Linked DNA regions of Xenopus tropicalis. The protein of the gene in region 2 purifies or fractionates together with the protein of the main gene of each other region. This does not show direct contact. Links are inferred from orthologs where the notes say so. Each region holds a gene or a part of one and is shown on either strand. Other genes may lie near its edges.

The links. The genes of interacting proteins can lie anywhere in the genome.
Region 1: the proteins of rab6b (region 2) and slc12a4 purify together in Homo sapiens (co-immunoprecipitation; 3 studies listed by BioGRID and IntAct, with this or other methods). This does not show direct contact. The link is inferred for Xenopus tropicalis from reciprocal best matches to the Homo sapiens genes RAB6B and SLC12A4.

Annotation. Positions count from the first base shown.
Region 1 is NC_030680.2:43,044,499-43,050,568, reverse strand, and holds the start of slc12a4 (solute carrier family 12 member 4), read right to left. Parts: upstream 3,538-6,070; 5' UTR 3,407-3,537; coding exon 3,271-3,406; intron 1-3,270. UniProt on the Homo sapiens protein: Mediates electroneutral potassium-chloride cotransport when activated by cell swelling. May contribute to cell volume homeostasis in single cells. May be involved in the regulation of basolateral Cl(-) exit in NaCl absorbing epithelia.
Region 2 is NC_030681.2:130,025,253-130,031,322, forward strand, and holds the start of rab6b (ras-related protein Rab-6B), read right to left. Parts: upstream 4,114-6,070; 5' UTR 3,831-4,113; coding exon 3,761-3,830; intron 1-3,760. UniProt on the Homo sapiens protein: The small GTPases Rab are key regulators of intracellular membrane trafficking, from the formation of transport vesicles to their fusion with membranes. Rabs cycle between active GTP-bound and inactive GDP-bound states.

The DNA of each region.
Region 1 (6,070 bases), on a different chromosome or scaffold from region 2:
TTAGCTAACGCTCTAAACACCTTAAGCTAAGGTTGTTCTTAAGCAATCATTATTGGAGGAGGGGCAGAATAAAATTCTGTAATTGTGCTCCAACTATCAATTATGTTAAAAAAAAAAACCCAATAAAAAGTTTTGAAAGCCTTTTAGTATCATCTAGAATAGGGCTACTACAGGTCTGATAGATGAAAGAATATCAAGTCTCCAGAATTAATTTACATGAGATTAAATGCTAATGGTGGCTTACGCGCAACTAATTGTTTGTTTGTTTTTTTTATGACCCCAGCACTTAATATGAGTATTAACATGTCACCTTAGTGGCTACTATTGTGCAGTGACTATCATCACATACGCACACGGGATCATGCCACATTCATAGTATCTTTATCAACTGTGAATATAGCTAACGGAAGTGTTGCCCTCCGTGGCACTGTATACTGCTTCTGATGCGCACCTCCAGTTCACATATCTGTAAGAATCATTTGTTTTTGAGCACCCACTTGAGCCTTTGTATCTATGACTATCCTGACTATATTTTGTATTTTAGTTTTTTGGATTTTTTTTTAGGTAATGATTTCTCCTTCAGTGGTCCTACTCACATTGATAGTGTTTTATGTTTGATACAAAAAAAACAATTACATGATTAAAGGGTCTATACATACCTAGACACAATTTGGATTATATCCTGTTACTGTTACAACTTTTTTGTACAAATGTCTCTTTTTTTAAAAGCCATATAACAGCTAATTTGGATTGTTGTTTTCTCACAATGCACACACATCAACTGCGTGATAAACCAAAGTAGATGCTTTAAAATGTATTTTATTTCATGCAGGTTTGGGGCAGGCTGGGCAGGTAATAAATTGATCAAATGTATAGGGCTGGTCAGAGTGGTGCAGATGGAAACTGCAGGAAAGTGGCATGGAAGCCAAAATGGAAAATGAAAACATTGTGAGAGATGACAAAAAGGGAAATTTGTACAAAAAAAAAAAAGTTTTAAAAGTTGGAGACTAATAAAAAAAAAAATGATGAGAGAGAAAGAGAAAAAAAAATAGAGACAGCAAATTAGGAGAGCAATTTGTACCAAAAACAAGCATGCAGTTTTCTCTGTTTTCTTTTTTTTTTTTTTACTACAGGTGTGGGACCCGTTATCCAGAATGCTCGGGACCTGGGGTTATCTGGATAAGGGGTCTTTCCGTAATTTGGATCTCCATGCCTTTAGTCTACTAAAAATCATTTAAACATTAAAAAAACACAATGGGATTGTTTTGCCTCCAATAAGGATTAATTCTATCTTATTTAGGATCAAGTACAAGGTACTGATTTATTATTATAGAGAAAAAGCAAATCGTTCTTAAAAATCTGAATTATTTGCTTATAAAGGAGTCTATGGGAGATGACCTTCCCATAATTCGGAACTTTCTGGATAACAGGTTTCCGGATTACATATTTGCATATGTATTACATATTTGCATATGTTAAACTTGCCGTACAAACAGTTTTTTCTTAGAAGCATGAGTAGTGGATTAGGCATTTTGATAACTATTCACACTGTTGGAGTAATTCTTTTATTTTATTGGTTTATGCAATTTTTTTTTTTTTTTTTTTACTTACTTTATTGTATTTTTAGTTTTGCATTATAATTTGTTACTTGTATTTAACAACGCTTTGGGGGTTTGAAATAGAAAGATATTTAACAATTTTAGATGTCAGAATGTGTGCTTTCCAAAAATATATGGTTTTCGAGGGTCTTCATCTGTTAGGGGGGGGGTCTTATGACACATAACATACTGTTTTCATTATAGAGTCCATACACACAACATACTTTGGTAAACCTATGCACACTGAGCATCAAATTGCTCAGTAGACCCTTAGCGGGCGACTAATCTCCCCGTGTGCCAGAGCCCTTAGGGTGTTTTATGTTGTTACCTAATGACATGTGAGAGATAAGATGCTATAAATTGGAAGCTTTGAGGTTATTTTCAGAATTTTTTTTATCAAAACTGCTAAATTTAGGGATGCTTTGTAGCTAGGTGGTTTGGAGTTGAAAGAAAATTTTACTTATTTGTGAGATGGATTTGTCAGAATTTGTAACTTTTCAAAAATATAAGGTTAGGAGTCAACATACTTTTTTAGGGACTGGTGTGATTTAAAGAATTAGTCGGACTACCTTGCTGTTTTGATCCAATCTTTGTCGTGGTCCAAACAATATCCTAACTGGGGAAAGATCCAGTAGTGGCAATTACTTTACACCACAAACAGTCCATGGTACAGCAATCTAAGTGAACCCTATAGTGAAGGGTATATTGTCTATATTTGCACCCATTTTGCCCTGCATTTTCCTGTGGTGGAGCACACCTGTGTTTCACTGCCTGTACTAACACGGGTTAATGTAAATGCCGAACGCAGTTGGAACACAACATGGAAACACAGGGCAACACGCCAGTGAGTACAATCCCTAAAGCACCTTTATGGGTGTGGCCAGTGGCATAACTACATTTTACTGGGCCCCACAGCAAAGTCATTTTGGGGCCCCCAAAATGTCCAGAAGTTGGTCTGTTTAACCAATATTTATTAAAATTCCTCATTAACAAAGGCCTCATAGGGACCCCTATACCTTCTGGGCCTCCCTCTATAATTACACCCCTGAGTGTGGCCCTTGGGTGCCAGTACAGAAAAAACAGTAACCCTAGCTGCTGCCAGACACTTGTGGCTTACTTTGGCAGTGAAGCCGAGGCGGGGTTCATCTCCTCTCTTCCCTGACTGGCAATAAGGGAAGAGGCAGTGAATAGTGAGCCAGCTCCTACTGCAGAACAGAACTTCAATCCAGCCCTGCCTGTACAAGGAATTCATTGGCTCCCATCTACACATACAACTTACGGGTAAAAGACAAGAAGATATAGCCTTTTTTCGCATTGACACACACATTTCTCAGCAGCGTTCCTGGCAACTGATTATAAATATTTAGGTGTTCCAAACTAGCCTTCCGACTGGAAGAAGCCGAAGTCGTGCATGAGTTTTTAGCGACTGCATTTTATTACCGATTTTTTCCAAAATCTATTTTTTTTAAATAGGGTAATAAAAGCGAAACATACCGCTGTATAACCGATGTTATAGCAAGGTTAACTCTCCAACAATATTCGTTCCCTGATATAAATACAATACCGAATCTATCACGTACTTCTCTAAGGTTCTCTTTTTATCATTGGATCTGTGAGAAAACAATTACAACCGCGGAGGCCCTAAACTTTCCGACCCTGCTGTAGAACTTACCGTCGGAACTAACGCTGTCGTAGGGATCCCGAGAACTGTGCCCTGTGTCCCTATAATCCACTCCGTTAAGGCCTTCCAAGTAATCACATCCCAATCTAGCTTGCTCTTCAACTGGAACAACTGTGAAGTGAGGCATTTTGTTTGGGGACTATCACATCTTTTGCCAACCAAGCAAAGATACCTAAATATCTACTCCACTTTCAGTGAATTCCAAAACCATAGACTCACTTCCTCCGGGGAAATTAGCATATTCCGCAACCCCCGCCTTGATTCGCTGCTGTAGGGTCGGACTGGCAAAGGCATATAGGGGGAAAGGGAATGCTAGAACGAGTGCACATGATGATAACCGGTGTTTGGGAGGTTTAATAATAAACTGGTCAAAGTAAAGTAAGCAAAATGTATGAAGTTAAAAAAAAAAACAGGTAGAGTGAAAGCAAAGGGTTACCTTGATATTATAGAAAACCCTGCCGATGAGAAGTTTGCATGAATAAAGTATGTCAAAGCTGCAGGAATTCTTGATGTATATATATATATATATATATATACACACACACACACACACACACAGGTATGCAACCTGTCATCCAGAATGCTCGGGACCTGGGGTTTTCCGGATAAGGGACCTTTCCGTAATTTGCATGGGCGTCCACAGAAGGGGGCAAGAGGGGGCACTTGCCCCCCCTGGAAAAGTAGCAATAAAAACGGGCGCAATAACTTGGGGGCGCATATTAAAGGGGAGATGAATTTTTTTTTTTTTTTAGTTGTAACATTATTTATATCCCCACCTTGGCCATTATAAAACCGCCGCCCAAACCCCCCTCTAAAGGTCCCAGGAACTGAGCGCAGGCACCACCTTCCCACCCTTCCCTATACTGGAGCGGCGCTTACCTCCGTGCGCCCATATGACACGCATGCGGATTGGGCACGCCCCCCCCTACGCATGTGTGTCTTTGAAACACAAGGCGCCAGAAGGCGCAGAAAGCGCTTGGGTGCGGCGGCGGTCGGTTGTGCTGTGGGCTGGCTGAGTGAGCAGGATTGCTGGGCTGGCCTTGGCTGACTGGCACCTGGGACTGGGATTTCGAGGCACTGCTGCTGCTGACACAGGTACAGTTGCTGGGGGCGCAATATGAGGGGGGCTTGGCTGCTGACACAGTACAGATGGGGGGCTTGGCTGCTGACACAGGTACAGATGCTGGGACCTTGCTGGGGACGCAATATGAGGGGGGCTTGGCTGCTGGCACAGTACAGATGGGGGGGCAATATGAGGGGGGCTTGGCTGCTGGCACAGTACAGATGGGGGGGCAATATGAGGGGGGCTTGGCTGCTGGCACAGTACAGATGCTGGGGCCTGGGGGCGCAATATGAGCGGTGGCGTGGCTGCTGGCACAGTTCAGATGGGGGGCAATATGAGGGGGGCTTGGCTGCTGGCACAGTACAGATGGTTGGGCAATATGAGGGGGGCTTGGCTGCTGGCACAGTACAGATGCTGGGGCCTGGGGGCGCAATATGAGGGGTGGCGTGGCTGCTGGCACAGTACAGATGGGGGGCAATATGAGGGGGGCTTGGCTGCTGGCACAGTACAGATGGGGGCAATATGTTGGGTGCTGGCACAAATACATGGGGGCAATATGATGGCTGTTGGCACTGGTACATGGGGGCAATTGGGGTTTTTTTTATGTGGCATGATAATTTTGATCCATCTAATGTGTGTTTCTGAGTTCTGAATTATGTGAATAGTAGGTAGCTGAGTAGAGCAGAGTAGTTGTAAAAGGCACTAACAGTTGTAAATGTATTCATTAATTAAAATATATTTAATTACAATTGTATATTTTTACATACAGACACACGTAAGCTAGTATCATCCTGCAAAAAAAAAATAAATAAATAAAATATATATATATATATATTTGTCTGTTGCAGGATGATGCTAGCTTACTTGACCCCCCTTGGAAAATTTTCTGCGGACGCCCATGGTAATTTGCATCTCCATACCTTAAATCTGCTAAAAATCATTCAAATATTGAATAAACTGTATAGGCTTATTTTGCCTCAAATAAGCAGTCGTGATCAGGGTATAATATTGGTAAACTTTTTAACTATTTGTACTCTCTTATATTGTCTACTATACCTCGTAATATAAGAGGGTTGATTCACTAAAGGTCGATAAGCGTTATTGTATGTTTTTTTGCATTAAAATTGACGCGAAAAAACCACGCGATTTGCCAAAGTATTGTTGCGTGGTTAAGTCGAATATCACATGCGTTATATAGCGTGCAACCGCATTGCGTTAATTCTCGCACAGAAATAATACTAAAGCATGATTCACAAACACTTTGAGGCGCTAAATATCGCATTAGTCTATGCGAAAATTAACACCTACTCGGGGCAGGCGGTAATTATAGAAAAGTACAGTTCATGAGCTTTTGGCAACACAATATGGACTTTGCAGTGGGATTTATTCAAGTATGTGTTGGCCCTAGAGTGATGCAGCCTCCAGTTTGCAGGAAATGGGCATTTTAAAAAAAGCAGTTTTACGAACGTAATGGTGTGTATGGCTAATATGGCATGCGCGCGATAAGTAGCACACGTGAGTTAATTAGCGCGCGAAAATAGTCTTTGCGACTTAAATAACGCAAACAGCATCGCGTCTAAATTAACGCAAATATCCTTTTAGTGAATCATGCAGAGCAATTTGACAGAATTGGAAAACTGGGCAGAAAACTGGAAAATGAGGTTCAATTTGGACAAGTGCAAAATTATGCACTTTGGTAGAAATAATATAAAAGCGTGCTATCTACTA
Region 2 (6,070 bases):
AAGTTAAGTTAACGGCGAATCATCCCTTTAACGCTTCCAAAACCTTGGATCTGTTTTTCATACCCCCGAAGGGCTTGCTGGGACTGCATTTTTACAACTTATACACAATACATATGTCTGGGCAGGGATGATTTAAGGTGGCAGCAGGCCCAGGGTAAAGATCTTATTGGTGGTCCCCTGAACCTGTCTCAATAAATTTTAAAAATTTATATTTTCTGCTTTCGTCCCTGGGGAGTTTAGAGAAAACTTGATTGCACAAAGGCTCTCCTCTGTTTGACTCTCAACACCCAGTAAAGGTGCCCATACATGCAGTTTTATTATCCTACAAAATGAGGATTCGTACAATATGCGTGTATGGTGGGTTGGCGAGGTGACCGTTATTGGCAAAACAATTGTCAAGATTTTTAATGGAACATGTACGGCCTCCTTTAAGCACTGACTTCCAAATCTCTAATTCCTCAGATAGAGGCAGCAGCATTTTTGGATCAATCATTGCCACAAGAGGATCCAATACAACATGCACTGTTTGGGGGTCTAATATTTTACTTGGTAGACAACACTCCTATTGGATGTATTAAAACCTTACCTGCCTATATGTGGCACAATGCCTGTTGGGAAAGTGGATGTTTGGTAGACTTGATCTGTTTAAAGGTTGATTTCATGCCCAGACTGCTGTAAAATATCCTAGAAAGTCAATTTTTATTTGGCCCATGGGGGGTTGAGGCTAGAGCCTATTTTGAATTTAAGTCCAGACAGAGTTGATCTGCATCTATTCAACCAACTGGCCCACAGGCTGATTTTACATCTATCCACATGGCCCGATATTATGCAATTTGGCTATCCACATAGATGAAACAATAGCAATTTTCCATTCATTACACCGGGACTGCGCTCCTCTTATGCTAAACTGCTGATGCCCCAACAAACACCAAGAAGGGACACTGGAAGATGTGATTTGTGACTGCGTTCGCAGGGCAGTCTCAATAAACTGCTTTCACTGATGCCATACATGCTCAGATGATTGGCCTGTGGTGTTTGAATTGACCAAACTGTCTGACCAAATCTGGGAATATATAGGATGCATAAAGTGTGCCAGGACTTGGGAAGGGATAATGAAATGACCTTGTACTTGACATATAGTTGCTATAGGTCTGAGAAAAAAGAGAGGTAACATGGCTGTGAAAGTAAGGGTAAAATTTACCTCAACATGAAATGGCATTTATACAATATCCATTCTCCTCACCTTAAAATCCTAGGGCCAGCAAAGCACTGTAGAGCACATAGCGCCCATCCACGTATTCTTTTTGTAGCAATACTTCCTGATTGCAGCACCTTCAGTGCAGTACATTTTAAACAACGAGCAAATAAATATTTCAGCATATTGACAAGCAATTCTGTGTCTGACCTTCTCCATGGCACCCCGAGTCTGATCTCCTACTGTGAGGTTATGAAGTGAGGGAAATCACAAATGTATCATGCAGATGGAGAGGCACTAGCTTGCTCACCAAATACACTATTTCTCAACTTGTCAGTTTAGATTAAAAATATATATATTAGCCAAGGATCACAAATCAAAAGCAATTTGAAAGCGAGAGCTGAAGATGAGTTGTGGTTACATTTTGCTTGGGGCATTAGTATGGGGTTAATAAACTGTCCAATGGAAGAAGCAGATAAGCAGAACAGGCTATAGGCAGGGGAACCTGCACTCCGCTTAATGAAGCAATATGTGATGCTTATACTGCTGCTGGGGTAACTGCAAGTGATGAATTGGTCTTTTGTATAGCTATTTGCTTCTGTGCACCCAGATGCATCACTATGGACGGTCATACATAAGTATGGGCAAATATTAATGTAACCAGGCCAAACTGGCAATCTGAGGTGCTGCTGTAAGATGCCACAGACTGTCACAATTAACGGGCGTGTGGGGGGGATTGGGCCTCTGTGTACTTGATTTGCCAGGGCCTATTTTGAATCCCAGTCCAGGCCTCAATGTAACACCCCAGCACTTGCCCCAGGACTGCAAGACAATTATTGGTTACAAATACTGTCTTCGGAGGGGTGTACATGGGGGCACTTGCACCAGGTACCATTGGTCAGCGATATAAATTCTGTTGTGCCTCACAAAATTGTCTTTTTTCCGGTTGGTCAGAGAATCCTGGGAGTTGCAATTCAATATCAGATGGGTATTATTTATTATAAATGCACATTATTATAGCCTTGATGCTTAGATATAGCCAATCTGAAAAAAAACGCTGCTCTTTTCCAAATGGAGCATAAACTAGAGGTGGCACTCTGATTATACATACATATTTATATAACCTGTAAATATAACATGGACCCATAATCCTCAGGCACCCAATAAATCTGACTAAACTGATGGCAGCCTGTATCCGGCCTACTGTGTCCCCATGATGGAACTGTCTATCACCGACACTCATGCTACTAGATTTGCATTTAAAAACCATGTCGCTGGACCTCTCATTCCTCCACAGCTATTAATGAACAAGTCTGGCCATAAATTATTTTCTTCCTGGGGTCAAAGGGTCTTAAAATATTAGCTGTAACCTCTGGCAAAAAGCGGTGATGTGGAACGCACAACCGCAACCTACCTGATTGCATGTCTGCTTGCATGTCATTCTCTAAAATTGCATAAATAAAATGCCAGCTGAAAAATAATGGCAATGGCAATTATAAAAAAAAAACCTTAATAAACATAATGTGCCCGTAGCTATTCACCCAGTTGACGTATTTATTATAGATTGAATTATACACCAACACTTTCCCCCGGAGGAGCTGTCTATTGCTAATCTAATAACTGAATTGCTTGCTTATATTCAAGCTGCTACATTGTCATATTATTGCTATGCTGTTTTTATGTTCCCATCTATAAGAACAAGGTCAGGCATAGGAATAAGCACACATATCCCACCTTTTGCTAACACGGCCATCGCCATTCTGCTGATAAGAGGTAAGCAGTCTGAGTACGTCTCCAGCACAGATCCCAAGAGTCATTAAGGGTGTGTCCACATCAAAGATCCCCATAATACACTATAGGATGCTTTCACTGAATAAATACACATTATACCTGCATTTTCTGCTTCTGCAACGTAATAGGACTATGGCCCTGGGGCTGTCTCCTTTCTACCAGAAGATTCTGTGAGAAGGGCCTCTATACTGTAAAATAGATTTAGCAAGGAGAAGCCAGCTGACTGCTGTCACTTATATATGAAAGGCAAATAAACACAGCAGCTATTTGTCCCAAACACTGGGCAATGCTGAAATTAGCTTTATCTATCATCTATCTATGTATCTATCTATCTATATATCTATCTATATTTCTATCTATCTTGGGCCCATAGGGTGATTCAGGCAACAAGGCATATTCAGTGGAATGATAATCAGTCTGTAGAAATATGCAGATGCACAATAGTTATTGTCATAATAAAGACTAATCAAATCCATAAGTACAGAAATGTCAGCAGTGACCCAGCCCAGTATGGAAGGGGTTATAGTAACCCCCAGTGCCCCCCCCCCCCCCCCCATCTCAATCTCAGCTCATTAATATTGTCCAGAAAAAATAAGGGAGGAAGCTCTGCAAATATATGGAGACTGCACCCCTAAGCACATGTATAATATCCATACACATATATATTCTATATTTCATGCTTCCTCATACTAAGGAGTTAGCGATCCCCAAAGTGCAATTAGGGGGCAAGGTAGAGCCATAGCCAGCCCACCCCACCCTGAAGCCATCACTCACCACTTTGCTCTCCAAGAAAAACCAGCTTGAATTTTCTCAGAGGGTTTCCAAAATCTCCCCCTGCAGACATGATGCTCGGGGAAGAGCCGAGACAGGACCAGGGGAAGAGCCGGAGACAGGACCAGGGGAAGGAGTCGGAGACAGGACCAGGGGCAGCAGGGGCAGATTCTGCAGCAGTCTGGGCTGGGCTTGTGGCTGCGGCTGGGGCACAGGGAGAGGTAACAGGGTGCGGCGGGGAAGGAATAGGTTAATGGCTCAGTGGCAGCAGCAGCAGTAAAAGAGGGAGAGCGGCGCTACTGTAGGGGAATACGGATGCTTCGGGCTGTGCTGCTCAGCATCTCTCCCCTCCCCGCCCAAACCCATCACGCCTGCGTACTCCCTGGCCGCGGCCCCCCTCCCCTAGCTGGGCTGATGTCAGTGCACCGGCTACTCTATACACTGACACCTGCACCCTCTATAGGGCTGCCATTAGGCCTGTCAGGTCATTCCACTAAACTGGCTGCATGGGCTAATTGGCAATCACATCAGATAGCCTATAATGCAAACATGAGCTTATGCCTACCCGCCCCGCAGCATGGATATTCTATAGGTATCTCCTATAGGTATGCACTGGGTCTGTGCAATGTGTAGCAGCAGGGGTAGGAATGATGGAGCAGGGCTCTTCAACCTGTTGGTGGGATTCCGAGGCTTGTGCTACAGTTACGGGGGCTGCAGAGACTTGTACTACAGCTGGGGGTGCTGCTGAGGCATGTACTGTAGCAGGGGGGGGCCTCATGAGGCTTGCACTACAGCTGGGGGGTTGCAGAGGCTTGTACTACAGCTGGGTGGTTGCAGAGGCTTGTACTACAGCTGGGGGGTTACAGAGGCTAGTACTACAGCTGGGGGGCTGCAGAGACTTGTACTACAGCTGGGGGTGCTGCTGAGGCATGTACTGTAGCAGGGGGGGCCTCATGAGGCTTGCACTACAGCTGGGGGGTTACAGAGGCTTGTACTACAGCTGGGGGGTTGCAGAGGCTTGTACTACAGCTGGGGGGTTGCAGAGGCTTGTACTACAGCTGGGGGGTTGCAGAGGCTTGTACTACAGCTGGGGGGTTGCAGAGGCTTGTACTACAGCTGGGGGTTGCAGAGGCTCGTACTACAGCTGGGGGGTTACAGAGGCTCGTACTACAGCTGGGGGGTTACAGAGGCTTGTACTACAGCTGGGGGGTTACAGAGGCTTGTACTACAGCTGGGGGGTTGCAGAGGCTTGTACTACAGCTGGGGGGTTGCAGAGGCTTGTACTACAGCTGGGGGGTTACAGAGGCTTGTACTACAGCTGGGGGGTTGCAGAGGCTTGTACTACAGCTGGGGGGTTGCAGAGGCTTGTACTACAGCTGGGGGGTTACAGAGGCTTGTACTACAGCTGGGGGGTTACAGAGGCTTGTACTACAGCTGGGGGGTTGCAGAGGCTTGTACTACAGCTGGGGGGTTACAGAGGCTTGTACTACAGCTGGGGGGTTACAGAGGCTTGTACTACAGCTGGGGGGTTACAGAGGCTTGTACTACAGCTGGGGGGTTGCAGAGGCTTGTACTACAGCTGGGGGGTTACAGAGGCTTGTACTACAGCTGGGGGTTGCAGAGGCTTGTACTACAGCTGGGGGGTTACAGAGGCTTGTACTACAGCTGGGGGGTTACAGAGGCTTGTACTACAGCTGGGGGGTTACAGAGGCTCGTACTACAGCTGGGGGGGCAAGAAACTAGTGCTGCTCAGATAAAGGGGCACATTTAATAAAGTGACAGCACATGTCAAAATAATTGGCAGAGAAGAAGCATTGGTGGGGGTTGGGAAGTCAATAACATTAATGGCATTTAGAAGGTGTCAGGAGTAAGCCAAATCCAGTTCCTTTGTGAGACCCCACACAGCATTTAATGATGATGCAAGTAGTGCAAAATCATTTTAGATCTCCCCATAAACTTGGGAGGTGGGGAGGGTTGAGACATTTTTGATGAGCATATTTTGAAACTGCCTATTATACTGCCCATATACCCCCTGGGTCCACAGTAGATTAATTTATAGTAATCAGTGGTGTTACTACCATACAGCAGACCCCAAGGGGATGGTTGCCCTGGACCTCGGGGGCTGCTATATAGTAGTCTCTGCTCCCCAGACCCTCTCTTACCTTTAATGTAAGCTAGCTGCAGCAGGCAGGTGTCAGGGGGCCAAGGGGAACATAGGGGTTCCCTCAGCAGGCACTGTGTGCTCTGCCCTTCAGTGAATTTTACCAGAATTATAACTGTTGAGGATGGTAAATCTGCATCTCACCTGCAGTT